Linked DNA regions of Nothobranchius furzeri. The protein of the gene in region 1 binds, or shares a complex with, the protein of each later gene. Links are inferred from orthologs where the notes say so. Each region holds a gene or a part of one and is shown on either strand. Other genes may lie near its edges. The genes, in order: ciao1 and ciao2a.

What was found.
Region 2: ciao1 (region 1) and ciao2a share a complex: the UniProt entries of both Homo sapiens proteins name them as parts of the CIA complex. The link is inferred for Nothobranchius furzeri from reciprocal best matches to the Homo sapiens genes CIAO1 and CIAO2A.

Annotation. Positions count from the first base shown.
Region 1 is NC_091757.1:37,101,839-37,119,464, forward strand, and holds ciao1 (probable cytosolic iron-sulfur protein assembly protein ciao1), read right to left. Parts: upstream 8,537-17,626; 5' UTR 8,300-8,536; coding exon 8,161-8,299; intron 8,034-8,160; coding exon 7,885-8,033; intron 7,801-7,884; coding exon 7,689-7,800; intron 7,612-7,688; coding exon 7,523-7,611; intron 7,447-7,522; coding exon 7,251-7,446; intron 7,171-7,250; coding exon 7,101-7,170; intron 7,032-7,100; coding exon 6,800-7,031; 3' UTR 6,600-6,799; downstream 1-6,599. Other genes in the region: snrnp200 (U5 small nuclear ribonucleoprotein 200 kDa helicase), read left to right, coding at 88-171, 343-449, 531-649, 733-887, 965-1,154, 1,241-1,414, 1,490-1,650, 1,750-1,977 and 14 more; tmem127 (transmembrane protein 127), read left to right, coding at 9,262-9,499, 9,596-9,760, 9,834-10,144; gatd3l (ES1 protein, mitochondrial), read left to right, coding at 11,728-11,844, 11,920-11,972, 12,056-12,169, 12,274-12,405, 12,496-12,588, 15,747-15,912, 16,004-16,138. UniProt on the Homo sapiens protein: Key component of the cytosolic iron-sulfur protein assembly (CIA) complex, a multiprotein complex that mediates the incorporation of iron-sulfur cluster into extramitochondrial Fe/S proteins.
Region 2 is NC_091744.1:55,345,465-55,357,182, reverse strand, and holds the end of ciao2a (cytosolic iron-sulfur assembly component 2A), read right to left. Parts: coding exon 11,710-11,718; intron 10,618-11,709; coding exon 10,453-10,617; intron 9,210-10,452; coding exon 9,160-9,209; intron 8,367-9,159; coding exon 8,321-8,366; intron 2,862-8,320; coding exon 2,761-2,861; 3' UTR 2,348-2,760; downstream 1-2,347. Other genes in the region: pdcd2l (programmed cell death protein 2-like), read right to left, coding at 138-588. UniProt on the Homo sapiens protein: Component of the cytosolic iron-sulfur protein assembly (CIA) complex, a multiprotein complex that mediates the incorporation of iron-sulfur cluster into extramitochondrial Fe/S proteins.

The DNA.
Region 1 (17,626 bases):
ACACACTAACCTGACACAGAATAAATAAATGTATTTGTGCATTTTCTAATCCCAGAGAATGAGTTTCTTAAACTATTTTTGTTTCAGATTAACGTTCTGCTCCAGGCGTACATCTCTCAGCTCAAACTGGAAGGCTTTGCTCTCATGGCGGACATGGTTTATGTTACTCAGGTACAGAAAGACCAGCTTCCGCGTGCTCAGATGCTGCTTTAAACTTGTTTTCTTTAGTTTAATGTTTAAAAATGACACTCAACAAAGCATTACTAGTCATTTATTTTTGTGTGTCCTTGTACATAAAATAATTTTCTTTATTTTATAGCATTTTTTTTTTTGTTCTTTCAGAGTGCCGGGCGGCTAATGAGAGCCATATTTGAGATTGTGCTAAACCGCGGCTGGGCTCAGCTCACAGACAAGACCATGAACCTCTGCAAGATGATTGACAAGAGGATGTATGTGTGTTTTTACTCCTACATAAACATGTTTGTTGTAGTGAGGTCAACATCTCACAGATTTGAGTCTGTGCTCTGCAGGTGGCAGTCCATGTCTCCTCTGCGGCAGTTCAAGAAGCTCCCAGAGGAGGTCGTGAAGAAGATTGAGAAGAAAAACTTCCCGTTTGAGCGGCTCTATGATCTCAACCACAATGAGATTGGTGAGGTTTTTTTTTTTTTTTTTTTTCCTTTTCACGACTTTTGCTTATCCTTTCATAACCTCGTCATGTTCCTCATTGTTCAGGTGAGCTGATCCGAATGCCAAAAATGGGAAAGACCATTCACAAATACGTCCACCAGTTCCCCAAACTGGACCTGGCTGTGCATATTCAGCCCATCACTCGCTCCACGCTCAAAGTGGAGCTCACTGTCACGCCAGACTTCCAGTGGGATGATAAGGTCAGTAAACTTAATGCACATGACTCGACTCTGATCTAGGTTCTTGTTTGTTCTTATTTTTAAAATGTCCTACTTAGATTCACGGATCTTCTGAAGCTTTCTGGATCCTGGTTGAGGACGTGGACAGTGAGGTCATCCTCCACCACGAGTACTTCCTCCTCAAAGCCAAGTACGCGCAGGACGAGCACCTGGTGACGTTTTTTGTGCCGGTGTTTGAGCCTCTGCCTCCTCAGTACTTTATCCGTGTGGTTTCAGACCGATGGCTCTGTAAGTAACTTTTAATTCCAGCATCTTGCAGGACTTTCCTGATGTTTGTGCTTTTTATAAAACCGTTCTTCTGTTTTTTCCCTCAGCCTGTGAGACTCAGCTTCCTGTATCCTTCCGCCATCTTATCCTACCAGAGAAGTACCCCCCACCCACTGAGCTGCTGGATCTGCAGCCACTGCCTGTCACCGCTCTCAGGAATTCAGCTTTTGAGGCTCTTTATCAAAACAAGTTCCCCTTCTTCAACCCCATTCAGACACAAGGTACAAAGACTCCTTATACGCTGGCATTTCTGATCAGTGCACTCTGCTTCACTCATACTTCTCTTTTTCTTGCAGTCTTCAATGCTTTGTACAACAGTGATGATAATGTCTTTGTGGGAGCTCCGACTGGCAGTGGAAAGACCATCTGTGCAGAATTTGCTATCTTGAGAATGCTACTGCACAGCGCAGAAGGTCGCTGTGTTTACATCACCCCAATGGAAGCGCTGGCTGAGCAGGTAAGGAGTCTGTGCATCAAAACTAGCATTGTTTTCACATTTATGTCAGATACAACACAGGAAATGTTCCTATCCAATACCATGATCCTCGTCTCCCAGGTGTTCGTGGACTGGCACCAGAAGTTCCAGGACATTCTGAACAAAAAGGTAGTTCTGCTGACCGGAGAGACCAGCACAGATCTGAAGCTCCTGGGGAAGGGGGACATTATTGTCAGCACTCCTGATAAGTGGGACATCCTGTCTCGTCGCTGGAAACAGAGAAAGAATGTGCAGAATGTCAGCCTTTTCATTGTGGATGAAACCCACCTCATCGGAGGAGAAAACGGAGTAAGTATCTCATCCTGCTCAGCTGATTTTTAGCTGTTTCTGTGTTTAGTGAAGCATGTTGACGGAGTTTTGTTTATTTCATCAGCCTGTGTTGGAGGTCATCTGCTCCAGGATGAGATACATCTCTTCTCAAATCGAGCGTCCAATCCGCATCGTGGCCCTAAGCTCGTCTTTGTCCAATGCTAAAGATGTGGCCCACTGGCTGGGTTGCAGCACCACAGCTACGTTCAACTTCCACCCCAATGTCAGACCTGTTCCTCTTGAGCTGCACATCCAGGTCTGAAAAGCTTTTGCACAAATTTTACCATTGGAAAGAACTATTTAAACACCTTCCAGATTCCTGACTTCCTGTCGCCTTGTTGCTGCAGGGTTTCAACGTCAGCCACACTCAGACTCGCCTGCTGTCCATGGCCAAACCGGTGTACCACGCCATCATGAGGCACTCTCCCTCCAAGCCAGTGCTGGTGTTTGTCCCGTCCCGCAGGCAGACCCGCCTCACCGCCATCGACATCCTCACTTTCTGTGCTGCTGATGTTGTTCCTCAGAGGTCAGTCACAGCCATAGACTGTACGGTCACAGCTCATCAGTCTTTGATCTTGAGATTATTCTACTTGGTGTTCTGAAAAATTCTTGGTCTTATCAGGTTTTTGCATTGTAACGAAAAAGACTTGACTCCGTTCCTTGAGAAGATAAACGACGGGACTCTTAAAGAGACTCTGGCCAACGGCGTGGGATACCTGCATGAGGGCCTCTCTGCAACTGAATGCAAAATCGTGGAGCAGCTTTTCAACTCGGGTATGAATTTTATTTTACACCTGGGTCGCTCAGAGCTGAGAAACAAACCAGAAAAGGGGTTTCTTTCTTGTACAGGTGCCATTCAGGTGGTGGTGTCTTCACGTTCGCTCTGCTGGGGCATCAGCGTTTCTGCACACCTCGTCATCGTCATGGATACCCAATACTACAATGGAAAAATCCATGCGTAAGGATTTAAGTTGACTTGAAAAAATGTCTACAATAATGAATTTAATGTGCTGTTTTGATGACACGTTCTCTCATTTCTCTCAGATATGTGGACTATCCCATATATGATGTTCTCCAGATGGTGGGAAAGGCAAACAGACCCATGCTGGATGATGAGGGACGCTGTGTCATCATGTGTCAGGGCTCCAAGAAGGTGCGAACATGCGTTGGTTTTGTTTTAAAAGCAATTACTGTAAAAATACTTGAACTAAACAGGTTATCTGTTTTTGTTGTAGGACTTCTTCAAGAAGTTCCTGTACGAGCCCCTGCCAGTGGAGTCTCACTTGGATCACTGTCTTCATGACCACTTTAACGCTGAGATCGTCACCAAGACGGTGGAGAACAAGCAGGACGCCGTGGACTACCTGACGTGGACGTTCCTCTACCGCCGTATGACGCAGAACCCCAACTACTACAACCTGCAGGGTTAGCATCCTTTAAGGCAGAGACCACATCACACTTGACCAGACCAGGCTTAGGGGTTTCTTGTTGAGTCTTATGTTCTGTGGCAGGCATGTCCCATCGCCACCTGTCTGACCACCTGTCTGAGCTGGTGGAGAACACGTTACATGACCTGGAGCAGTCCAAGTGCATCAGCATCGAGGACGAGATGGATGTTGCACCCCTCAATCTGGGCATGATCGCAGCTTATTACTACATAAACTACACCACCATTGGTTTGTAGCTACACTCACCTCTCTATGGGGTTTATGTTGCTTCCTGGACCTCAGACTTCACAGCAAAGTTTTTGTTGTTGTTCAACAGAGTTATTCAGCATGTCCCTGAATGCCAAGACCAAGAGTCGAGGATTAATTGAAATCATCTCTAACGCAGCTGAATATAAGAACATTCCCATCAGGCACCACGAGGACATGCTCCTCCGACAGGTAAACACACCGACACAAGTCCACGTTAGAGTAGCGTCTTTTGCCGCTTACACTTTAGGGTCAGTACGGTTGTGGGAGGATAGCGTCAGTTGGGTCTCATACGGGCAGTGTAGTGTTCCCGAAGGAGTTCTCGAGAATGCAGAAATCCCCGAGCACGTGGGCGGCGTTTAAAATGCGCTGGTGGTGTCCTTCTTATTAAGATAAGCAAAGGCAGGTGTGAGCTGTGTTGCTTTTGGAGACACCGAAGCACATTCTTTTATTAATGTGCTCCCTGTTCTCTCACTGCTGTGCATGTCCTCAAATTCCACTCACACACACACGCTCGCTGCTCTCTCCATCCATTGAGCAGCTGTAGCAAGAGCTTCATGCAGAGATGTTCGCTGCTCAGAGGACATACACGACTCTCTCTTCCGGGAGCTCTGTGCTACAGACTGAGATGTTTACTCAACAACATCCAGGATGTTCATGCGTAAACCCCCTGCTGGCTGATTCTACTTGAGGCAGTAGATGATCATTTCAGTCAGCCAATCAGTCCGTAGTGTCACCTCGGTCCCAGTCGGTCCTTTGAGAAAGAGGTCTGAAAAAAAGAGGTACCTCAGAACAGAAAACTCATAAGTGGCCCAAGTGTGGGGCTGGGCGGTATGACCTAAAATCAGTATCACAATATATTGAGGATTTCACCTCGATAACGATAAATGAACGATAACTACATGTATGTGCAGAAACAAAAGTTGTCCACTACATGGGGCTGTCACATGTTTTACGTTGAGTCACATATTTACGTGACTCAAGGTGGTACCGCTTCTTAAAGGGACATTAACATTGCCAACCTATACACATCTTTTCTTTTTTTATTATCAAATTTATTGATATGGGAAAAATTCTGTCAGAAATTTCAATAACGATAAATTGGGTTAGGCCCAGCCCTACCCAGGTGTGAAACCAAATTCCGGTCTGGTACTGACCCAGTGTGTAGGTGCCTTTTGTGCTGCAACATCTTTAACTTTGAGCTGCTTTTTCCTTCAGCTGGCACAGAAAGTGCCCCACAAACTGAACAATCCGAAGTTCAACGACCCCCATGTGAAGACAAACCTTTTGCTGCAAGCTCACCTATCCAGGATGCAGCTGAGTGCTGAGCTCCAGTCGGACACCGAAGACATCCTCAGCAAGGTTCAGATCCCTGAATACTATGTTTTGCTGTGACTCAGCCACGTTTCTGTATTTGATCCCAGCGTGTTTTATGTGACGAGAGCGTTTGTTTGTAGGCGATCCGTCTGATTCAGGCCTGCGTCGACGTGTTGTCCAGTAACGGCTGGCTGAGTCCCGCTCTAGCCGCTATGGAGCTGGCCCAGATGGTCACCCAGGCCATGTGGTCCAAGGACTCGTATCTGAAGCAGCTGCCTCACTTTACCTCCGAACACATCAAGCGTTGTACTGACAAGGTTAGTTGGTATTAACATTTGGTTATGAATGAAGCAAACGTAGATGAAAACATCCCTTGTTGCTCTCTTTAGGGTGTGGACAGTATCTTTGACATAATGGAAATGGAGGATGAGGACAGATCCGGTCTGCTGCAGCTGTCAGACAGCCAGATGGCTGATGTGGCTCGCTTCTGTAACCGTTACCCCAACATCGAGCTGTCCTATGAAGTAGCAGAGAGGGACAATGTCAAAAGGTTTGTGTTTCTCAGCAGATTTATTTATGTAAGCTTTGAAAGCATAATTAAGTTTTACGGTTGAGGATCAATTTAATCGATTAACATCGGTTAACATTGTGAACTTGTTTTTCTTAGCGGCAGTTCAGTTCTGGTTCAGGTGCAGCTGGAGCGAGAGGAGGAGGTGACTGGTCCGGTTATTGCGCCACTCTTCCCTCAGGTTTGTTCCGTCATTCACCAAAGATCCCGTTTGTTTCAGCGGTGTGTAAAAGTGGATCGTGGTGACGTGTTCTTGTTGTTGCAGAAACGTGAGGAGGGCTGGTGGGTCGTTATTGGAGACCCCAAGTCTAACAGCCTCATCTCCATCAAGAGGCTGACTCTTCAGCAGAAAGCAAAGGTCGGTGTAATACAGCAGAAATGTTCTCCCCTTCCCAGTAGAAGGCCTCATTTCCTGTTTTCTTCTGTACTTCCTCCACAGGTGAAGCTGGACTTTGTTGCACCTGCAGTGGGCGTTCACCACTACACCCTGTACTTCATGAGTGATGCGTACATGGGTTGTGACCAGGAGTACAAGTTCAGTGTGGATGTGAAGGAGGCCGACAGCGAGGGAGAAAGTGACTCAGACTAAGTTTTACTGAATACTGTGTTGTCTCCATTTGAGAGGGAATCAATGGGTGTGTTGTAGATATTCAACCTGATTTGTTTCTTTGAATTTAAACTTCTCACTTTTGCCCAAAGTATGTCAGTTTTTTTTAGTGACCCGATTGATGAAACAGTCCAAAATTGGTGTGCAGGATCTGTTTTCCGTATTAAAAATGAAATGCATGTTTTGGATTCAGCTGGATCCACTGACAATACTGCTTTAAATATGGGAAGCATAATTTTGTACTTTTCTTGTCAGGTTTGCTTTTTAAAATAAAAGATGCAACAATTTGGTTTCAGATTATGTCTAAAGTTACATTGCAGATGTAAAATGGTTTTCCCTAGATTAGTAAACATGTTTTTAAGAATCTATTGTCTGGCATGTTCTTTTCTTTTTATTAAAATGAAACCACACAGTCTTGTGTTTTTGTATTTATTCATAAACATGTTTGATTAAGCCATTTTTAAAAAGTGTACAAGATGAGCTGCAGCGGTTTTCCGATCACAAAAATTAAAACGAGATTAATCAAGCCATGAAATAACAGATGTGGTGCCTTAAAGATAAAGTTCCCAGTATGAGATCTAAAACCAAAAGCACTTCGGTGCATTTGTCACTGAATCAGTCTTCTTTGAACCTCCAAATGGCAAGTTCTCCATTGTCGCTGCAGGAGGCAAGAATTCCAGCTTCTTTCGGGTTCCAGGAAGCACAGTTAACGTCCTGGTTGTGAGCTTTGGTTACCTGAGCAACCAGCGAGAATACAGGTTCTTCTGGATTAGAGGTCACGTCCTCTCTGAAAACTCGAACTGCGTCGTCACCGCAGGCAGTTGCCAGGGCGCCAGTCAGCGGACACCTGAACAAATGGTGTTTAAGTCAGTTTGAAGGTAATTCATTCAGATCACTGATAGAAGTTCAGTCTTACCAGGACACATCATACACTGTTCGTCCATGATACCCAGACAGAGTGCAAACACACTTCCAGGACGTGTCACCTTTCAACATACAGAGCAGGTAAAAAAAAGGATTTGTTTGTAAATAAATGGCTTCGGTGTTACTGTTCATAACTACTGACCACTCTCAGAGGGATATTCTTTCCAAATCTTCACAGTGCGATCATCGCTGCAGGACGCCATCCTCTGTCCAGTTGCATCAAAGCACAAACTCCAGACGGTGGAGGTGTGTCCTTCCAAAGTAGCGCGACATTCCCAGTCATCGTCTTCTTCCTTGTAAATACAAATGTTGTTGTCGTAGCTGGCCGAAGCCAGGAGCTGAGGAAACAGACAATAACCTCAAAAATGAGAATGGAGCTACAGATGGAGATAATGTCTACAGATCTGAGTCTACCTCTCGGGTCGGGTGCCACGCTACATGCTTAACATCTTGTGTGTGAGAGTTTAGAACTGTGACACACTCATACTCATCTTCTTCATCCACTGTGGGACAGAGGGAAAACACCTATTAACCAGATCTGATCAAATTGTATTTATTACATGTGTAAATAAACACAAACCTTCCCAGATCCAAACGCTTTTGTCTCGACTGCATGTGGCCAGGAGGTTCCCTGATGGAGCCCACGCCACACATTTGACCTCATTTTCATGTCCCTCCAACACTGTCAAACTCTATAAAGACATTTACAAATGTGTCAAGTTCACGGTTAAATGCTTTTTTAATCACACCACTGAACAACAGAGGTCTCATCTAACCTCAAAACCCTCGTTATTCTTCTTCCAGATGCATGTAGTTGCATCAAAGCTGGCAGAGGCCAAATAATTTCCACATGGAGACCAGGCCACTTTCCTCACGGTGCGCTGGTGTCCATCCTCCAGCACACTCTTACAAACCCAGGAGTCTCCTACGGATAGAGGGGGTCACCGAGGTCAATAGATTAATTATTTTACCAACAGATAACTAATAATCAGAGTGTGTGTGTGTGTGTGTGTGTGTGTGTGTGTAAGAGAGAGAAAGAGATGACAGGCTACCTTCGCGTCCCCAGATCCGGATGGCCTTGTCCCCGCCACACGAAGCCAGCAGAGTCCCGTTTGGGCTCCAAGCGACAAACCAACACCGAGAGTCCGGGTGTGCGCTGAGCCTGTGAAGCAGCGTGAGAGTCTCCTTCATACTGACTTAATGACTATTAAATATTTAGTTAACAGGTCTCGTCACTTTTGTCTTTTCCTTCCCAGAAAAATCCGATAAGAAACTCAAACAAAACCCATCAAAGCAGCAGAGCCACTATCACTATTAACATATTTTGAGAAGATAAGGAATTAACTTGCAATAAAGAGCAAATTAAAGAAGTTCATAGAAACATCCACAACTGACGTGCCGCCATCTTTGCTTATCGGAAGTGCACACTGTGGGCTTCCGTCTTCCTTTAAAAACAAACTTAAATATATTTTTTTTAAATAAACGGAAACAAATTCAGTTGTCGTAATAAAATATATAATTATTCATAAAAAAAGCGAGATTTATGTATAAGATTTAAAGTCTATGGTAAATGCAGAGAAGTTTTCATCGTTGTGTAGTTTTTTTAACCGGTAGGTGGGGCTAGTGATCACAGGTTCTACTGTAGCTACGACGAAACCCGGTGGAAACAGGAAGTCAATGCTTTAGAGGAAACCAGCGTAAGCTGTCTTTTGTTTTGTTTTCTGTTTGTTTTTCTGTAACTAAAACAATATATTTTTATTTATTGTTGTTGTAAAGATTGGGTTCTAGGTTGGCGTTTATATGTTTTTTTTGTATTCGTTTTAATCCTGTCATAAGAATTTATTATATTTGACGTTTACTGCGAATTAGCTAATCGGGCTAACAGTACAGCTAACAGGCCTGAAGGCCATCTGTCTTTTGTTTCCTCGTCAGCCAGATCCTGTTTTTTTATCGAGCAGCTGGTTCTCGTACGGAAGTATTGTATATCTTTCATCTAACAAGTCGCCTGGACCGCTATCATCCTTTAACACTACAGGTAAAATCAGCTGTACCGACTGACAGCTGTGTCAGGCGGCTAATCCCAGTTATAAACCTTAAGGAAAAGGACAGACAAGGGAACCAACACTTCCTACAAAAACAGAGATTTGGTAATCATGTATGCTCCGCCGGGCTCTACCGTACCTGGTGGCCGGAGAAGAAGAACTGCCACCTCCCTGCCCAAGCAGCCGGAGCGCAGCCTGGTGTCAGCGCTGCCCGGAGCTTTGTCCATCACAGCGCTGTGTACGGCTCTGGCTGAGCCGGCCTGGGTGCGTGTTCATGGGGGCGCCTGTCCCAGGCAGGAGCTGGGGGTTGCGGATGTCTTGGGTTACATTGATCCAAAGCTTCTAGATGGTGAGAACCTGCACAATTACTTTACAACCAGCAATTATCGATCATTGTTTTGACTCGTAATGGTTTTTGTTTGTTTTGACGTTTCTGTATCCTCAGATTACTGTGTGAACCCGCAGACCATCCTGCTGTTGAGGGTCATAGCTGCCTTTTGTTTCCTGGGCATCCTATGCAGTCTAACTGCTTTTCTGTTAGATGTGTTTGGACCGAAACACCCTGCCCTAAAGATCACTCGTAGATATGCATTTGCCCATATACTCACAGGTACAAACCTTTCATTTACACACAAAACATTTTGCATATTTACCTGTGCTAACAGACTTCCTTTTCCTTCTAGTGTTGCAGTGTGCCACAGTCATAGGCTTTTGCTACTGGGCCTCAGAGCTGATCTTGTCCCTTCAGCAGCAGCACAAGAAGTACCACGGTTCACTTATATATGTCACTTTTGCTATCAGCTTCTACCTGGTGGCAGGTGCGGGTGGAGCATCCATCCTCGCCACAGCTGCAAACCTTCTTCGCCACTACCCCACTGAAGAGGAAGAGCAGGCCTTAGAGCTGCTCTCTGAGATGGAGGATAGCAGTGAGAATTTCCCTGCTGATTATGACATTGCTAATCAGTTTCAACCACCACCTGCCTACACACCCTAATCCAACCAGACTTGCCTTTGCATACACATTTCTCTCTCAGCTCAGCTTTTTGCTCGATGTGCAAAACCACACTCTTTAAGCAAACGGATACTGCTGCAGATTTTCTTGGCATTAAACACAGCGTGTGCACATTAGTGCACAGCTTCCTTGAATAACAGTGCTTGGGTGCATGGAATCTTTCTTTAGTGGTGACAGCAGTTTAGGAGATATTTCTTACTTTCCCCACTGAAGTGGTTAGTGATTTGCATGTAAATGGCTTTTAGGATCTGGTCCTTACATGTAAAGATAAATTAACTGCAGAGAGTATTAAACTGCTCATAAGAAGAAATTGGGGGGTAGCCACAGCCTGATCAGTGCTTTTGTTGAAACAAACTTTCAGCACGTTGTCAGTGGTTGCAGTTACAGGGCTATGATGGGGCTTTGTTAAAACAACACAGCATTTTAATTTGATACATCATAAATGCTGATGTACACGTACACTGACAAGATTGTTTTAAATGTTTATTTTATATAAAAAAGCAAATGGACCTTATTTATTGTGTGTGCTGTCTTCTATCTTTTGCTTTGCAGACATTAGTCACTAACATAGTCTTCTCTGTTCACCTCTGTATTAGAAACAATAAGGACATTTCCAAAAATGTGAGGCGGGCCTTTGGCGTTTTTAAAAAATGTCTTTGGCTGTGTTGTGAGTCAGGTGAAGAGAGAGGGTGTTCTGCTACAGCAACAAACCTCACATCCTAATTTGGTTGTGTTATGTTTATTGTATTTTATTAAAAATAAACCTTGTTTGTACCTTGTGAATACCATACATGACAAGTTCAGTAAATGTCTTCTGTTTACGGGTTGTGGTGGATGCACATTTGAAAATAATCAGCTAGAATCTCATCACAAGGTTCTTCCTGAGGCTTAAACGTGTGGCTGGTGTGATGATTGTAGTTGATTGCACTTTGTTTTATCATTTTCTACATTTTGTTCCTCACTGTGCTCTCCTCACTGATGTGTAAATAGCGATTGTTTCTACATAAAGTGGCCATAATAAAATAAATGCCATATTTTGCTTCTTGCTGCTCATCTATAACTACATTTTGACTCCTGCTAAACGGAATGTGCAGTTTTACTATAAATGTTAGTTTTCTTTCTGTCAAAGGTATTTCTGGATTACTGTCTAGACTCAACACGGCATTACAGAGAGTAAGAGTCTTACAACCTAATGGACTTTAAAGGGCATATGGCATACTACTATGCCTGCATAATGGTGTTGAACAGTTTCCCAACCAATGCGACTCATCAAGTGCCAAATTCCTAACGAGTTAAGATATTGAGGCTAAAGTTTTGCCCTGTGGCCAAATGCTTTAAGGTAATCAGAATTAAAGAGGTATTAATAGGGAAGGGTGTTCAGGAAGGGAACAAGTCAAGACGTGAAAAGACAATGGAGCTAATGTGGGAGCGTCATTTGACCGCACGTATTTATACAGATGTCCTCAGAGAGGTAAATGTCTGTGCCGTCAGAGGTCTTCACAGGCTCGGTTGCAAACTCTTCACTTACACTTTTTCTTCTCAAAAAGTGAGACTTGATCATAGACATGCTGGCAACCAGGACTTTGCTGTCAAAACAGACACTGGCAATTCTCTCTCGCCAGCCAGCCTGCTTTGTTCACCACGGTGACCATGGCACCTGGGGGAACACCAATGTTGCAGTGGTAAGTTTGACTCCTTGTTACACGACCCATGAAAAGAGGAGAACTGTTCTGATTTTGTGCATCAATGTATTCTAGGTTTTCTCAGGATGTGGATGGTGGGATGGAACTGATGTCCATGAAGGAGTGTAGTGAGTATCAGGACATCAGGGATTTTGTTTTACATTTGTATAAATGCGTAATTTTACAGAAATGGTGACAAATTTCTCCTCAGCACCATGTACCACCTGAGCCGAAACGGAGCTCGTTTCCAGATGTTTGCTCCGAATCAGCAGCAGATGCATGTGATGGATCACATGAAAAAGCAGCCGTTCTCAGGGGAGAACCGGTAGGAATCTCACACTGGGCTGAGGAGACCGTTGATTACATTTTGCACGTAAAGCCGAATGACCTGACCTAACCCCCATCACATGTTAACACATTTGTAATCAGGAACATGATGATGGAGTCGGCTCGCTTCAGTCACGGTCAGGGAAAGATGCAAATGCAGGACCTGTCCGTTCTGGATGTCAACAGCTTTGATGCTGTCATCTTTCCTGGAGGTCATGGGATCATCAAGAACCTGTGAGGAGTTTTCAAATGTAAAAAATAATTGTGTTTATTTTATATATATACATATAATGTGCCACTAACTGCAAAATTCCTGACCTTTAGATCATCTTTTATGAAGGATGGCAAAGACTGTAAGCTGCACAATGACGTAGAACGAGTTCTTAAAGATTTCCACCATTCACGCAAGCCCATTGGGTACGTATCATTTGGTCATTGTACCAAATATCAGCATTAAGATTAACAGAAGTGCTAAAAATGTGCTCGAAATGAACCTTTTTCACTCAAACACGGGTCTGCTCTTGACATTTTTATTTGTTTTGATGACACCTTAACTACAGGTGAACACAGAAGCTTTAATTAATCCTCATAATAGAATTAGGCCATGAGAGGCTGTGAGAAATCACACTAAATGATTAATGATATTATCATAATCACGAGTAAAATCATGTATGTTGTAGATTTAATCAATGGCCAGATCTTGTTGTTTTATGCAGCATTTATTTTTAAAGAAATAATAGAAAGATAAAAGGACCATTAGCCCAACTGCTGCCCCCCAAGTTTGTTGAGCCAATTAAAGAAGCTTACTCTAGTATAACAAAACCTAAAGCATCTCAACACCTTTTTGTTTACACATGGAAAATCTGATTTATCTTCCACCAAATAGATATTAAAGATGGCTTTGCTTGGCAGCTGATACTGTTTGTTTATAAAGAGCTTCATAAACTGTCAGATCAGCTGTTGCCTTTTTGAAGCTGCAAGGTTAAATTCCTCATATTGGCTCTTTCTGAGCGTAGCAGACAACAAGTAGGACAGAAGTAGTAAAAATAGCCTTTAGTGCTTTTAAGCTCATCCTGGGCAACTTGAAAGCAGACAAATCCTTTAAGGCAGGCTGGGCAAAACAAAAACTCCTACACAAACGGTCCAACCTAATGAGATCTGCTACAAAATGACTGGTCTTAGCCGGATGGATGAGGTGATGAGCAGTCACCGTGGCGACCTGTGACAAGGTCAGGTGAAAGGGCACAGGGTGAAAGGTGAAGAATAGAGGATTCCGGGTAGAAGGAGGTGTGGGATTACAGGAATTACAGGGAAGAGTGGAGCAGGATGCTGAGGAGGGGATCGCCATGACAACAGAAGGTTAAAGTGTATGCTGACTTCTTGCTTACATCCCAAGATTAATCCCTTTTGCTGTTAATGCCAAGAAAGAGGAGGAGTCAATTGACGTTTTGAAGGAGAAAGTTAGTGATGAAACAATTTAGAAGAATGACAAACTCCTTCACCTGTAGGAACAACGCCAGTAAAAAGGTGTCGAAATTCTCTAACTATTTCTTTATTACCATACCAACTTTATTTGTATAGCACTTGAAACACCCGCAGGACCAAAGCGCTGTAGACAGAACAAATAAAAACAACAGTCAACAATAAAACCCTAGAACGTAGAGTAATAAAACAACCAAAGAGTTAACACAATAAGCTGAGCAGACTACAATTTGGTTGAATCAAAGTAAAATGCATTTAAATAATAGTAAAAATGATCTAAAACTAGTTAAAAGTCAACATCTCAGGTAGTGTCAAAGGCCAGAGAGAAGAGGTGGGTTTTGACAGTGAAGAGGCTTGTTTGATATTTAAAGCAAGCTCATTCCACAATCTAGGAGCTGCTAAAGCAAAGGCACGATCTTCTCGAGGCTTACGCTTTGTCTTTGGGACAGTCAGGAGCAGCTGACCCACTGACCTGAGGGAACGAGAGGGGATGTATGGGTGTAGCAGGTCACACAGGTAAGGCAAGGCACAGGCAGCCAGTGCAAACAGGCCATAACAGGGGAGATGTTACTTCCTTGTGCCTGTTAAGAGGCGAGCAGCAGCATTTTGTACTCTCCAAAGCTAAGAGATACTGGTGCACTTATTCCAGCATACAGACCATTACAGTAGTCCAGCTGAGTCGGGATGAAGGCGTGGATTACTGTTTCAAAATGCTTCTGGGACTGGATGGGCTTTACTTTTGCCAGCTTTCTTAAATGAAAAAAGCTAGACTTAACAACTGATCTAATGTGGTTGTCTAACTTTGGTCCAGCATCCAGTATGACCCCACGGTTAGTACGGGTTGGCGTAATGTACCGGGCCAGAGAACCAACTTCTATGTTGGGGGTCTCAGTGGAGCCACCAAGAACCATTGTCTCAGTTTTGTTTTCTTTTATTTATTTATTTATTTTCTTCGTTTTATCAAAAAGGAGTCTGGCTGCTTTTGAATGCACCTTTGTAGAAGTGTTTTGTTAAAATGAGATGATCATTGTGAGTAAATTTAAAAACGGTGCAAATATTCAGAGTTTAAAGTTAGAAATCAACCCGTGGAGCAGCGCAGTGAAATGTTTTCCCCAAGTACAAATCCTCAATGAGCAGCTTGTCTCCACAAGTTTTTTTTATCAATATTTTACCTTTAATGTTCTGGATTTACCTGAAGATGACCCCTTCTTTATTCTTAAAATGTTTTCTGTTTTAATTTAATTTCATTTTATTAAATTAAATTTAATAAATCTTATTCTATTTTATTTTATTTTTATTTTACAGTATGTGGCCTTGAGATCAGACATTGTGTTATTGAATTTGGAGTTAAAGAGATGGAACAAGAGCTTCAGGCAGATTCAAACAGACACTTTGCCGACAGTGAAAGGTGAAGAGTAGAATATTCCAGGTAGAAGGTGATTTGGGATTACAGGAAAACTGGAGCAGGATGGTGAGGAGGAGGGGAGGGGCAGTTACCTTGACAACAGAGGTTTAAAGAGTATGCTGGCCTCTGCTGGCCTCTTTCTATGGAAGATAGAGTTTGTGAACAAAACAAAAGTAATATACAGAAATATTTATTACAAGGTAATACATTTTATTTAATGATCTTTCTGAAAATAAAATATATAAGAGAAAAGTAAAATGTTAAATGTGACATACACACATTATCTGGACATTATTCAGCATGAGAACAGCTGTAAGTCTTGTTGTCTTGTTATTTCTGTCAAAAGTTGTTTTTATTGTTATTTATGAAATATAAAACAGAACAGCAATCCTCTCTGCCTTTAACCATTCCTGACTAGATTTTCTCCTCAGTTTGCCTCATATTTATTATTCATTTCTGCTAAATTACTGAATAATTTATACAATGAATGACTTAAAAATAATTTAGCAAACCATCACATTGCCTTTTTATTGTCAGTGACACAGCAATCATTGTCCGTTTTTTGAAATTCCTTTCAAGGGGCCAACAAGCACCTAACATGGGGATTCATTAAGTTTTCTGACCCATGTTTATCATTTATTTGAATAAAATAGATAACAGAGATTTTATTATTAATTCTTTGTTTCAGCCTGGCCAGCATGGCTCCTGTGCTGGCCTGCCGTGCTCTGCCCAGCATTGAGGTGACCATGGGCTACGAACGTGATGAGAACACCCGCTGGGGCAACTGGCCTCACACAAACATGGTGCAGACCGTGAAGAGCATGGGCGCTCGCCACAATGTCCGTGAGCCATACATATCCTTTCAGAGGCCTCTGTTTCTGACAGATGTGAGTTAAAAACTGACCTGATTTAACATCTGCTTTGGGCCTTAACTCCTCCGTTCACGAAGCCTATGTGGACGAGAAGAACAAAGTGGTCAGCACTCCATCCTTCATGTGGGAAACAGACTATCACTACCACTATATATTTGATGGGATTGGAAATATGGTCAAACACATCCTGCGTCTGTCAACCAAGTGAGGAGGCGTTACCCCTGGAGAAGAAATGATGAATGCTGGCAACTTCCAGTATTCACTGCTGTACTGTGATGAAATATTACCTGAATAATAGAAAAGCTTTAGTAAAGAGCACATGACTTGTGTTTTATTCGCGGTTTATTGGAGGACAGACAATAATTTGGGTGTTTTTAGACATCTTTCATCCACTTTCAAACAATTTTTCAAGATGAGCATGACACAATTCAGTATTTTTCATTTGCAGACATTTACTATTAAGTTTTGTTCAGTTTAATCCAAATAAAACAGAATATTGAGAAGTCAATCAAAATCAAATGAATACTGTTTATTTCACAATGTATGTCCATCCTGTAGAAGTCTGAGGTAAAGTAATAAATCAACTGGAGTTTATAAGGTTGGTTTCTAGCGTTTATCAAATCAAATCAAATCACTTTTATTGTCACGTCACATGTGCAGGTACACTGGTACAGTGCATGCGAGTGAAATTCTTGTGTGCGAGCTTCACAGCAACAGAGTTGTGCAAAAATACAGTAATGTAACAACAAATAAAATATAAAAATGGCTAATCTAAGTATACAAATGAATAAAGTAAACAATAAGATAAGAGATATAAAATGTACAGAGGCTGGTATGTGCAAAACAGTGGCATTAATGTACAGTATGGAGTGTGTAATGTTGGAGTTTCAGTAGTGAGGGTGAGGTGTCTGCGCCATGTTCAGCAGTCTGATGGCCTGATGGAAAAAGCTGTCTCTCAGTCTGCTGGTTCTGGACCGGATGCTGCAGAACCTCCTTCCTGATGGAAGTAGTCTGAACAGTTTATGGCTGGGGTGACTTGAGTCCTTGATGATCCTCCCTGCTTTCCTCAGGCACCGCTTCCTGTAGATGTCCTGGAGGGAGGGAAGCTCACCTCCAATAATCCTTTCTGCACACCGCACTACTCTCTGGAGAGCTTTGCGGTTGTAAGCGGTGCTGTTGCCATACCAGGCGGAGATGCATCCAGTGAGGATGCTCTCAATGGCACAGCGATAGAAGGTCCTGAGGATGCGGTGGCTCATGCCAAATCTTTTCAGTCTTCTGAGAAAGAAGAGGCGCTGCTGTGCCTTCTTCACTGTATTTTCCGTGTGCACTGACCACGTAAGATCCTCAGTCAGATGAACTTCAAGGAAACGGAAGCTGCTCACCCTCTCCACAGCGCCTATGTAATGATTATAAATTACTGGCCCGTGTATATGCTAACCGCTTAAACAATTGTTTACCCCAACTAATAGGTGAATATCAATCAGCCTTTATAAAGGGTAGAAATATACACAATCATATTCGGTTAATCCTTGATATGCTTGATTATAAGGAGCTGATAGAATCTGAAAGCTTGAATTTGTTCCTAGACTTCTGTAAAGCCTTTGATACGGTTGAGCATCCCTTTCTGTTAGATACATTACATCACTTGGGTTTTGGGGACAAATTTTGCAAAATAATAAGAATGTTTTACTCC
Region 2 (11,718 bases), on another chromosome or scaffold:
ACTTCTACATGTTGTCAGAGGTGCTGGCTCGAGCCAACCCAACCCTAAAGGGTCGTTATCGGTTCTAACATTACCGTTTTCAACTAAAAAAAACTACCTCCTCAACACACACACACACACCAACAAACAAACACTACCTCCTCCCAGCTCTTGCGGATCTTGAATCCGGTCCGGTCCTCCTCCCCACCCATCAAAACCATCCTCCATTCCCCAGTCATCAGCGGACTCGCACCAGTCTGACACCAGCGGAGCGGGCGCTGGAAGTGGCCCCGGCCGGCCGGGAGCCTCCAGACTCTGAGACCGGAGCGCCGTCCAGGACTCAGACCGCCCGCTGCAGTCCGGGCGGGGACAGGCGAACAGGTGCAGGGTTCTATGGTACGGAGAGGCCTGCAGGGGGCAGTATACTTGCACCACGTGGACAGAAAGGCCACCGCAGAGACCACAGCGGGGGGACAACCGGGAGAAGACCGGAGGCCAGTCCGGTTCTCCGCCAACTTTGTTCGTCAGAAATGAGGACCGGTGTCTCTTCGGGTCCAACTGTCCATCACACAGACCGATTAGAGTGGAGTCCTGGGCGCTGCAGGCCATCTCTGTTACCGAACTATCCGGGTTCAGTGATTCCGTCAGCACCGGAGGTTTACGGTTCACGTTTAGGTCCCGGGATTACCACAGACTGTAAAAGCATCGTGGCCTCTCTACCCAGCGTGCGCTATACGTCCGTGTGGGTCGCATTGCACATGCGCAAACGGTGACCATCCTCTTCCTGGTTTGTATAGAAATAAATAACCTAGATATGCCGAAGTGAAGTCCGGATAAACCAACTGAAAACTGGAAAAGATCACGAGGGTATTGTGGATATGAGCTCATATGACCTGGGGCGGGGAGCTTTTATTTTACTGGGTAATGTTTGAGATCACGTTCTCATTTACAAGCAGGACCTGACCCAGATGCAAGGGCGCTGCTAGGGAGTTTGGGCCCCATGGAAAATAATTGATCCGTATATTTATTTATTTATTTATTAAAATTTGCAATATTTCTGGGCTCCTGTCATTTGAGCATGTGTTATTATTGACAACCAACAAATACTACACAGTGTGATATTAAATAAGTTATAAAAATACACGTCATCTAGTTAAGATGCCAGTTTGGCAAACTCAAAATGCCACCTATGTTAGGGGAGAAGTCTGTGGATGATGTATATTATAAAATAGGGACGCACCGATAAGGAATGTTTGGGCCGATAACAATATCGCTGTTATGGTCCATAACCACTAGTTGCTGATACCGATATGTATATACATACACACACTGACATTTATGCTTGTGAAATCAGCAGATTTTGTTGACTGAAAATTATGCAAACTGAATTTTTTAATGTCTTGCTTTATTTCTATAAAGTGCAAACTAGATTGTGTGTGTGTTTGTCATATGTTTCTGAGATGATTACCATCTCTGTCACATGAATAAACAATAACACATCAGCACCCCCCTCATCCTCTGAAACAGATACACAAACTGAAACTAGATGGAAAAAATATTAGTTGTTAATATCGGCCCAGTTTTACTTATCAGACTGATACCAATAAGTTAAAAAATGACTTAACATCCGCCAATACCGATATTGATGCAGATATATTGTGCATCCCTATTCTGAACATAATCAAATATGCACTTTGAACAACCGGTGTGAGATTCATACCTGCAAAATCACTTTAGGGGCAAAAAGAGGGGGACACCAATATTGGCAAACTCAAAATCCAGCCCTGCTATTTTAAAAGATGGTATGACATTTTGTGCATAATCACACATGTACTCTGAGCCGCTGGAGTCAGTCTCATACCACCTTCTTTTATTTGGGGTCTGTATGAGATGGGACACACATCTCATCTGCCCATTATTTTATCCATCAACACACTGCATCCCATAAATGTAGAGATCAAGTGATGCTACAGTGACACATGCAGCCAATCCAAATCAGCTTTTTGAAGAGTGGTACACAAACTAAAACCTGGCTGGTATCATTTTGTACTTGATAGTTAAAAGCTCATTACAGCTCGTGTGACCTGTATGAAATATTACTGTGGAGGTATAATCAGTGTTTGTGTGTGCACTCAGAGAAAATATATGTTGACATTAATGTTATATTGTTTTATATGGTTAAGAGTGATGTTAATGGGTGTGTGTGAGATAGTTATTTCTAAGATCATTGTATCAGTTTTATTGTTCTTGTCTGAGAAGCACTTAAAAGTGCTTAATAAATAAACCTAAGATGTGTGCAAAATAACGTTTTATCTGTAGGAAGCACTGCTGAAACACTTACTCTGATTCAAATACACAGGAGACAGGATTATATTCAAACCTGATTATTTTATTCTGAGTTTATTTGCATTTCATTTCTGTTTATAAAACCCCATCCTAAACATCCAGACTCTGAAATCAAATTAGAGGTAATCACCTGAGGAATTACAAAAGATCTAATAGGAGTCAATGCAATGAAAAACAGCCATTTTTATTCTGTTCTGATTAAACATGAATGGTGAACAGCAGGAATGATGGAGAGAAAGTTGAGAGATAAAAGTAGAGCAGGAGGTGTGTTCTCTTCTTCCTTTATTCACCTTCTTCTGGAACACCAGGCTGTTCACCAGCAACAACTGGTGCTGCTGTCTTTAAAGGCTGGACTTGATTCCAGCATCCAACCTCCTCCATGTGTTCACTCATGCACACGCACTTAAAAAAGTTATTGATGTAGCATTGGGCCCTTCAGTCATCAGGTTCAGTGACACACTGCTCCACAATCTCTCTCAGGTTGGGGTTTTCCATGGCGGCTGCCACCCGCTCCTTATCGTTGATCTGTTTATTAACTGGAGAAATTAATCATTTTCACCACTCAGAACATGAGACTAGTGAAAAAGCACCAAAAAATCAGTAACACAAACAAACTGCTGAATCAGCTGGGCTAGCAGAGTTAAAAAACAAAGTTGTTTTCAAGGAGCCAGCAAGGCGGGAGGGGGCGTGGCTGTGGGGCAGCCTGAGAGGGGAAGTGGTGGTAGCAGCAAAACTCTAATACATGTGTTTGAAACCAATGCGGAGTCATGAATTTATTGTTTTGTTTTATATATAACATATAATATATATATATATATACATATCTACATATATATGTACATTTATATGTACATTTATATATATATGTGTGTATATGTATATACATTTATATATATGTATATATATATATACATATCTACATATATAAATATGTATGTATATGTATATACATATATATATACACATATACATACAGTTGTGGTCAGAAGTTTACATACACTTGTAAAAAATATAATATAATGGCTCTACTGAGTGTCCCGTTATTTCTAAAACTCTGATTTTTCTCTGATAGAGTGATTGGAACAGATACTTCTTTGTCACAAAAAACATTCATGAAGTTTGGTTCTTTAATGTCTTTATTATGGGTTAACAGAGAAAAGTGATCACATTTGCTGGGTCACAAATATACATACAGCAGTGCTAATATTTGGTTACATGTCTCTTAGCCATTTTCACTTCAATTAGGCGCTTTTGGTAGCCATCCACAAGCTTCTGGCAAGCTTCTGGTTGAATCTTTGACCACTCCTCTTGACAGAATTGGTGAAGTTCAGTTAAATTTGATGGCTTTCTGACATGGACTTGTTTCTTCAGCACTGTCCACATGTTTTCAATGGGGTTTAAGTCAGGACTTTGGGAAGGCCATTCTAAAACCCTTATTCTAGCCTGATTTAGCCATTCCTTTACCACTTTTGATGTGTGTTTGGGGTCATTGTCCTGTTGGAACACCCAACTGCGCCCAAGACCCAACCTTCGTGCTGATGATTTTAGGTTATGTTGAAGAATGTGATGGTAATCCTCCTTCTTCATTATCCCATTTACTCTCTGTAAAGCACCAGTTCCATTGGCAGCAAAACAGCCCCACAGCATAATATTCCCACCACCATGCTTGACTGTAGGCATTGTGTTCTTGGGGTTAAAGGCCTCACCTTTTCTCCTCCAAACATATTGCTGGGCATTGTGGCCAAAAAGCTCGATTTTTGTTTCGTCTGACCACAGAACTTTCCTCCAGAAGGTCTTACCTTTGTCCATGTGATCAGCAGCAAACTTCAGTCGAGCCTTAAGGTGCCGCTTTTGGAGCAAGGGCTTCCTTCTTGCACGGCAGCCTCTCAGTCCATGGAGATGCAAAACACGTTTGACTGTGGACAATGACACCTGTGTTCCAGCAGCTTCTAATTCTTGGCAGATCTGCTTTTTGGTGATTCTTGGTTCACTCTTTACCCTCCTGACCAATTTTCTCTCAGCAGCAGGTGATAGCTTGCGTTTTCTTCCTGATCTTGGCAGTGATGAAACAGTGCCATGCACCTTATACTTACAAACAATTGTTTGCACTGTTGCTCTTGGGACCTGCAGCTGCTTTGAAATGGCCCCAAGTGACTTTCCTGACTTGTTCAAGTCAATAATTCGCTTTTTCAGATCCATGCTGAGCTCCTTTGAATTTCCCATTGTAGCGTTTGTGGGCGTTTGTATCCAATGAGCCCTATTTACCTGGCCTAAGAGAAGTCACCAGCTGTAGTCACTCATAATCACTCACAAGAAGTTAAGAGGCCATGCTATGAAGCTCAGTTCACTGACACGTTTCTGTCACCAAAATTGCTAGTTCATGTTGCTGTATGTATATTTGTGACCCAGCAAATGTGATCACTTTTCTCTGTTAACCCATAATAAAGACATTAAAGAACCAAACATCATGAATGTTTTTTGTGACAAAGAAGTATCTGTTCCAATCACTCCATCAGAGAAAAATCAGTTTTAGAAATAACGGGACACTCAGTAGAGCCATTATATTATATTTTTTACAAGTGTATGTAAACTTCTGACCACAACTGTATATATATATATATATATATATATATATATATATATATATATATATATATATATATATATATATATATATATATATATACATGTATATATATAGTTTTCCTCTCCACTGTCGCTTTATGTTTGCTTAGTATGAGGATTGCTGTATAGTCACTGACACTAGTCAGTGACTTGATGCAATTTGCTGGGTTCCTTATATACGAAACATTATTTCTCATAGGCTTAAAGAACTGACCTGAATTGGAATGCTTATTATGTGAAGTGCCTTGAGACGACTCTTATCGTGATATATATATATATGTATATATATATATATATATATATATATATATATATATATGTATATATATATATATATATATATATATATATGAATATGTGTATATATATGTATATACATATATACATATATACATACATATACATATATATATACACATATTCACCGTATATGTATATACATATACCGTAAATCCTCTAATACAGGCCCGGGCCTGTATTTGACTCAAGCATACCGTATATGTATATACATATACCGTAAATCCTCTAATACAGGCCCGGGCCTGTATTTGACTCAAGCTCATCAAGCTCCAGGCCTTTATTGGAAGGAGGGCCAGTATTAGAGGCAGGCCTCTATTTCTATTTGAGCAAAGTGAACTAATGGTTCACTGGAGTTTTAGACAATTAAAATTGCGCCCACATTTTCAAAGTTAAACACATTTCTTTTAACAACGGTAGTTCCTGCTTCAGCCCCCTCCCCCCTCCCCCTGCGCAGCGGCTGCAAACTCACTGATGCGCCTGCAGCCTCTCAGAGTTCCTGCTGCTCTAAACATTAAAATAATTATTTCGTTTTCTGTTCCTCACTTCTGATTACCTTCAATGGTGTCTGTTTGTTGCAACCACCAGGTACAAAAACTAACTTGTTTTTATTTGACTATTTTTCTGTCCTGCCTGTTTATTATCTTCCTGCATCTCCTCTCAATCCTAAAGAGAAACTGCTACCTGGGTTCATATATATTCACCTCATGAGTTACCTTTGAACTGCAGTTCTAAAAGAGCTACCGACCGCAAAAACAGTGGAGCGCTCCCTGTTTGGCGGCCGTATCATACAGTCCGAGCAATAAACGCGGAAGTTAGATCCAAACACCCGTTGTGTGGGAGAAGCATATAATGAACTGTTTAATCTGCCCATCATTTGTGTTGAGAGATCAGCAGAGTTTGGATCAACAAAGGGCAACTACTTTGACAGTAGAAACTGTATTTATGGCTTATTTTTGTGCATTTAAAGTTCAGCCGCCATTGATAGTTGTTAAAAGTTGTTAAACCTGTGCATATGAAACAAAAAACGCCTTTTGTTTATCGATTTATTGTGAAAAAAGGAAGTTGTGCTTGCTCCTTTTCCTGTTGGGCAGTTGTGATTTCTGTCCATTGACTGCGGAGGTGCTCCGGCGAAAATAGGATCGATTCTATTTTTGCCGGACGCCGGAACAGAGGGCGGCGCACGGCGCCGCACTGCCGGAGCACGGCCGCAGTAGTGGAATTGCTCTGATTGACTACAACGGGACCGATTTTGCTCCGGCGTTTGTGTCGGAGCGGAGCGGAGGTAGTGGAATTTGCGTCGGAGGACAAGGTGATGCGCGCAGCGCCCCGCTCCACAGCATGCAGCAAAACTCATCAGGCGCAAATAAAAGACAGAAAACATTAAAGGAAATGAACTGACATGAACGATCGCGTGTTAAATTAGTTTTTGAGGTGGCGACACCTGATTGTGGCCGTGCTCAGGAGGCAGATCTACCGACCGCGAAAACAGCGGAGCTCTCCCTGCTTGGCGGCCGCATCAGTGATCTGTGAGTCGGAGGACAAGGTGATGTGCCCCGCTCCACAGCAGCGAAACACATCAGGCGCAAATAAAAGACAGAAAACATTAAAGGAAATGAACCGACATGAACGATCGCGTGTCAGTACCTATGCTCTGACACAGTGCGTTGCCCCCCTGAGCGCAGGAGCTGGTCACCTGCTGATAGCAGGCTGCTGTCTTTTCCGAGGGCTGCATCTTGCCGGTCATTATCACGTGACAGCGACTAGTCGACGACAGGCATAAAAAGTCACTATAGTGAAGTCGACTAGTTCATACAACCCCTGCTACTGCTCCCCAGAGTGTTCTGCAGCATAATCAGCATGTTCTCTTTGAACTTGATAGTGTAATGACCTGGCTGGGGTTGTAAGCCAGGTGCATTCTGGGTATTGTGTTATATGTGTTTCCTATCATTCTGCTAGTTCCTATGTGCTGATTTGCGTGTTGTGTGAGTGTTATGTAAGCCACAGGGAAGGTGATGTGTGTTCTGTGGAGTGGGTTGAATTAGCATGGTTAACTGACACCGTGACTCTGTGTGGTAGGAGCGTGATAGAGGATCGTGTCTGTAGCATTAAAAAGCGTTGAAGAAAAAGCCTAATAAAGGTCTGTGTGAACCTCTACTGCCTCCTACTGGTTGATTTGGGGACTATAACCCTGCCGCTGAGACACTCATATTTGCTTGTTACCACATTCCACCCGGCCACAATAAGAGACCGGCCATTAATCACCTCCGCTGACTCCGGCACCAGCCAAAATTGGAGACCCGGCCTTTAATTGAATACCGGCCTGTATTAGAGGATTTACGGTATACATACATACATACATACATACATATATATATATATATATATATATATATATATATATGCATATACATTATATATATATATACATTATATATATATATATACATTATATACATTATATATATATATATATATATATATATATATATATATATATATATATATATATATATATATATATATATATATACACATATCCATGTATACATATCTACATATATAAATACGTATGTATATGTACATACATATATATATATATATATATATATATATATATATATATATATATATATATATATACACACACACACACACATATATATAAAGGCTGGGCGATATGGCCTAAAATCAATATCACCATATATTAAGGATTTCACCTAAATAACGATAAACGGAAGATAACTACAGGTTTGCGCAGAAACAAAAGTTGTCCGCTAGATGGGGCTGTCACATGTTTACGATGATTACGATGAGTCACATTTTTACGTGACTCAATGTGGTACAGCTTCTTAAAGGGACATAAATGTTGCCAACCTACACACAGCTTTTCATTTACTATTATCAAATTTATTGACATGGAAAAAATTATCTCAATAAGAGTCAGAAATTTTGATAACGATACATTTTCGATTTATTGCCCAGCCCTCATCAACAACAATGAAACAATAGGTTTTGTTATTATGCAGTACAGAACAAACCCCCACTACTGTAATAAAAGACAAAAACTTACTATCTTCCTCTGTAGAATGGGTTCCTTCTGAAATGTAAATTTCCAACTAAAAAGAGAAAGAATACCAACTCATAAGTGAATACAAGATCATTATTACAGTCGTTTTTGAAAAGTCAAATTACAACCAAAAATGACTGGAAATACACCCAATCGTTTACTTTTGTTCCTGTGCATGGGTCAAGGGGCACACGCCGCCTGCCAAAAGTAACGCCAACACGGAAATGAAAGAAATTGCAGTTCCCCCTTCATCCACTGGGGCTGGCTCCAGAAAGGAGCAAGTTCATGTTTCAAAACAAACGAGTCCACTCTTAGCAACCACAGCCAGTTACTGATCAGAAATAGAAGATTATAGATGACGAATCACAGTAAGAAATATTTAGTTGTTGGTAACTGAAAAATTAGCTCGCGTTGTTGTTTAGAGCCGACCACTTTTTTCCTAATTCACTGTTGGCTCAATGTTAGCCTACAGCCTTCTTTCCTCGATATTAGAGTAAAACAAAAGGATGCCGTGGCTTCTTAGGGGTACAAGCAACGACTTCTGGGTCACTCCTTTTATTGGTTAAAAAACTTTCCACGATGCTGCTGCTGCTTTTTGCTGGCTGGTTTCAAATTACATATGTCGACACAGAACTGGAGAACCCACAGACTCGCATATGATTGGCTCAAGAACCAGGATGTATGGAGGCAGTACAGATTGTAAACAAAGACTACGTCCCTCTTCTGCCTTTTTAAAAGGAGACGACCCTCCATAATCAAAGTGTAAAATAACACGGCTGGCCGACCAGGGGGCTGTTGGTACTTGGCTGCTTTGACTCAGTCCTAGTCACGCTGATGCTTACCTTGTGTTTAAATGGCAAGCATCGCTGGAGCTTCACTTGTAAGCACAAACCTGCAAAACCATGAAAAAAGAGCATCAGTCCCGGACAGAATCAGCCTGCTGTAGCTCTACATGGGAGACAGAGGTGAAGAGTTCAACAAAAAACAGAGTGAATAATTCACATTTACCAGTTAGAACTGACTGATGGACCACAAACAGGTCTCATTTAAAACTCAACAACCAGGGTCTGAAATTAAAGTCAACCTAGGTCCTGTCACAGAAGCAATAGCTTCAAACTCAGTCCTGAAGTCCTGCATCAGGGTAGGAAAGGCAGCAGCTGATCCCCCACACCCCTGACGTTTTGGATTCTGCCTCTTGAAAGAATCTGAATTAGGAATTGAATGGAACCGGAACTGGAACAAGGAATTGGAATCGAAACCGGAATCGTTCAAATTGAAATGATGCCCAACCCTACTCATGACTAGGAAGGTTGTTGTTGGTTTACCATCCAGGAGAGAGCAGAGCATGTCTTGGCTAGTGGAAGTTAACTGTTAGCCTTAGCAACATCACAACATGGCAGAACTTCTTCAGGCTTGTGTTATTTGTGGAGATAAACCATCAATGCAGAACAGAGTCAGTGGTAGAGTTGTGTTGCTGCTAGCCAATCAGAAGCAAGATGTCTGAATATCAGGGAAAAGCCTCCAGATCCTGTCATCTGAATGTTAACTCTGCTGTGGCTAAATTCTAGCTCCTGAAACAGGAACGCCAGAGCATTTTACCCACAGAGGTCAACTCACGACAGAGATCAATTAATCTACAATAGAGACCAATGCATGTGTTAAAAAATGAGTGACCTTGGTCTTTAAATGATCAGTTATACGGTTGATCTTATAGCTTGTTAACCAACTCCCTACTTGTTTATGTATGCGATGAATCCCTGAAAGAAATGATGGGACTGTGGACTTTTAGCTATTTTCTGTACTTGTTATTTATTTATCCCATCTCATCCAAAAAGTTTAAAATAAAAAAAAAACTTCAGAGTTTATTTTAACCCAACTCCAACTTTGCTCCAACTCACAGCAGCTGCTTTAATTCTGCCTGAAACATGACAGGATGTCATGAACTGGAATTTTCAAGTTAAGCCCTGCCGATCCCCAGGAGCCATGGATCAACCGCCAGGTCTTTATCAACAAGTCAGGAAACTTGAACTCAACAATTCTACTTTTTCTTTTCTCTAACTGTTTAGACTTTAGAGAATTATATTTTTAGTGTTTGACTGGGATGTCTGCGACAGGTTGACAGCAGAGGGACTCACCAATGAGTGTAGCCAAAGAGCAGTGAGGGACGGTTGGAGAGAACCGGATTATAATGAGGAACTCATCGTCTCCAAGTTCCTGGACCTCCACACATTGTTCCGTCACAACCTCCAACTCCTCCAGGGTGTTGGGCTTCTCTGGGTCTCTGATTGTTCGAATGACATCTAACAGAGTTCAACATGATAAAATCTGTTCATCAATATGTACTATAAGAATTCCTAGATGCTGGATGAGTATGAGGGTTGCACTGATGGTGGTTGTTTATTTCCACAGCTAAATACCAAATTAATCAAGATCTTAATGCTCCAAAACACACAGACTGGAAAGGACAGACACGAGGGGAGAATAATAAGGGCTCTACCCAAACATGGGGTGTTTCTCAATGTCAAGGAACCACCCCTTGATGCCCTGGTCCCATCCCAGTTGCCAAGGAGATACATCATCAGGAACGGCTAAGGCTTGCTCCATGTTCATGTGCTACATAGGTGTCTGTCCTCCATTTGTTAGCCGTCTAGCTAACTGGCCAAGGATACACGGGGGGCGTCTTGTTGCCTTCTCTCATTCAAAAATTTCCCAGTACCCAGTGCAGTATTTTCAGAAGGAGGGTGGACGAGAAGCCAGCAGCTACCTCGGGTGCAAATGTCCTGTTTAAATGTAAGTCAACTAATTGTAGCTATCCGCCTGATATCTAAAATGTTTTTAGATCCAAAGCCGTTATCGACGGTGGGTTAGTTGCAACTTCGTTGGCTAGCAGGTACTAACTTGCTTACATATTTAACCAATCTATTCACAATTAAAAAACTAAAAGGCTCGCTATACATCTATAATAAAACTCATACAAACAAAACATAACCTTACCTCGCGTGTCACGTGACGTTCCATTAAACCGTTTTCTTTGACCTAAGCAAGGCGCCTGACCTACCAAGGCAATGCCTTGACATTGAGAAACACCTATGGGCTCTGCCTCCGGCCCCAAAATAACTCAACCCGCCACTACAATTAGTCGCCTTTACAAGTTGAATATACACACAAAACGACCCCAAAAATCTGAAATAAATGTTGAGCTATTTATGATGTACATGTTTCTAAATATACATTTATTGTATGTTTTGGCTCTACTACACCAAGAGTATGTGGTGACAGAAAATTGAATTAAAAAAGATAACATTTATTAATAAAAATGCCCTTGACGCGGACAAAACAACAGCCCGAAACTAGTCGCTGCTTAACTTCACAACGCGAGGTCAGAAACTTACCGTACACTT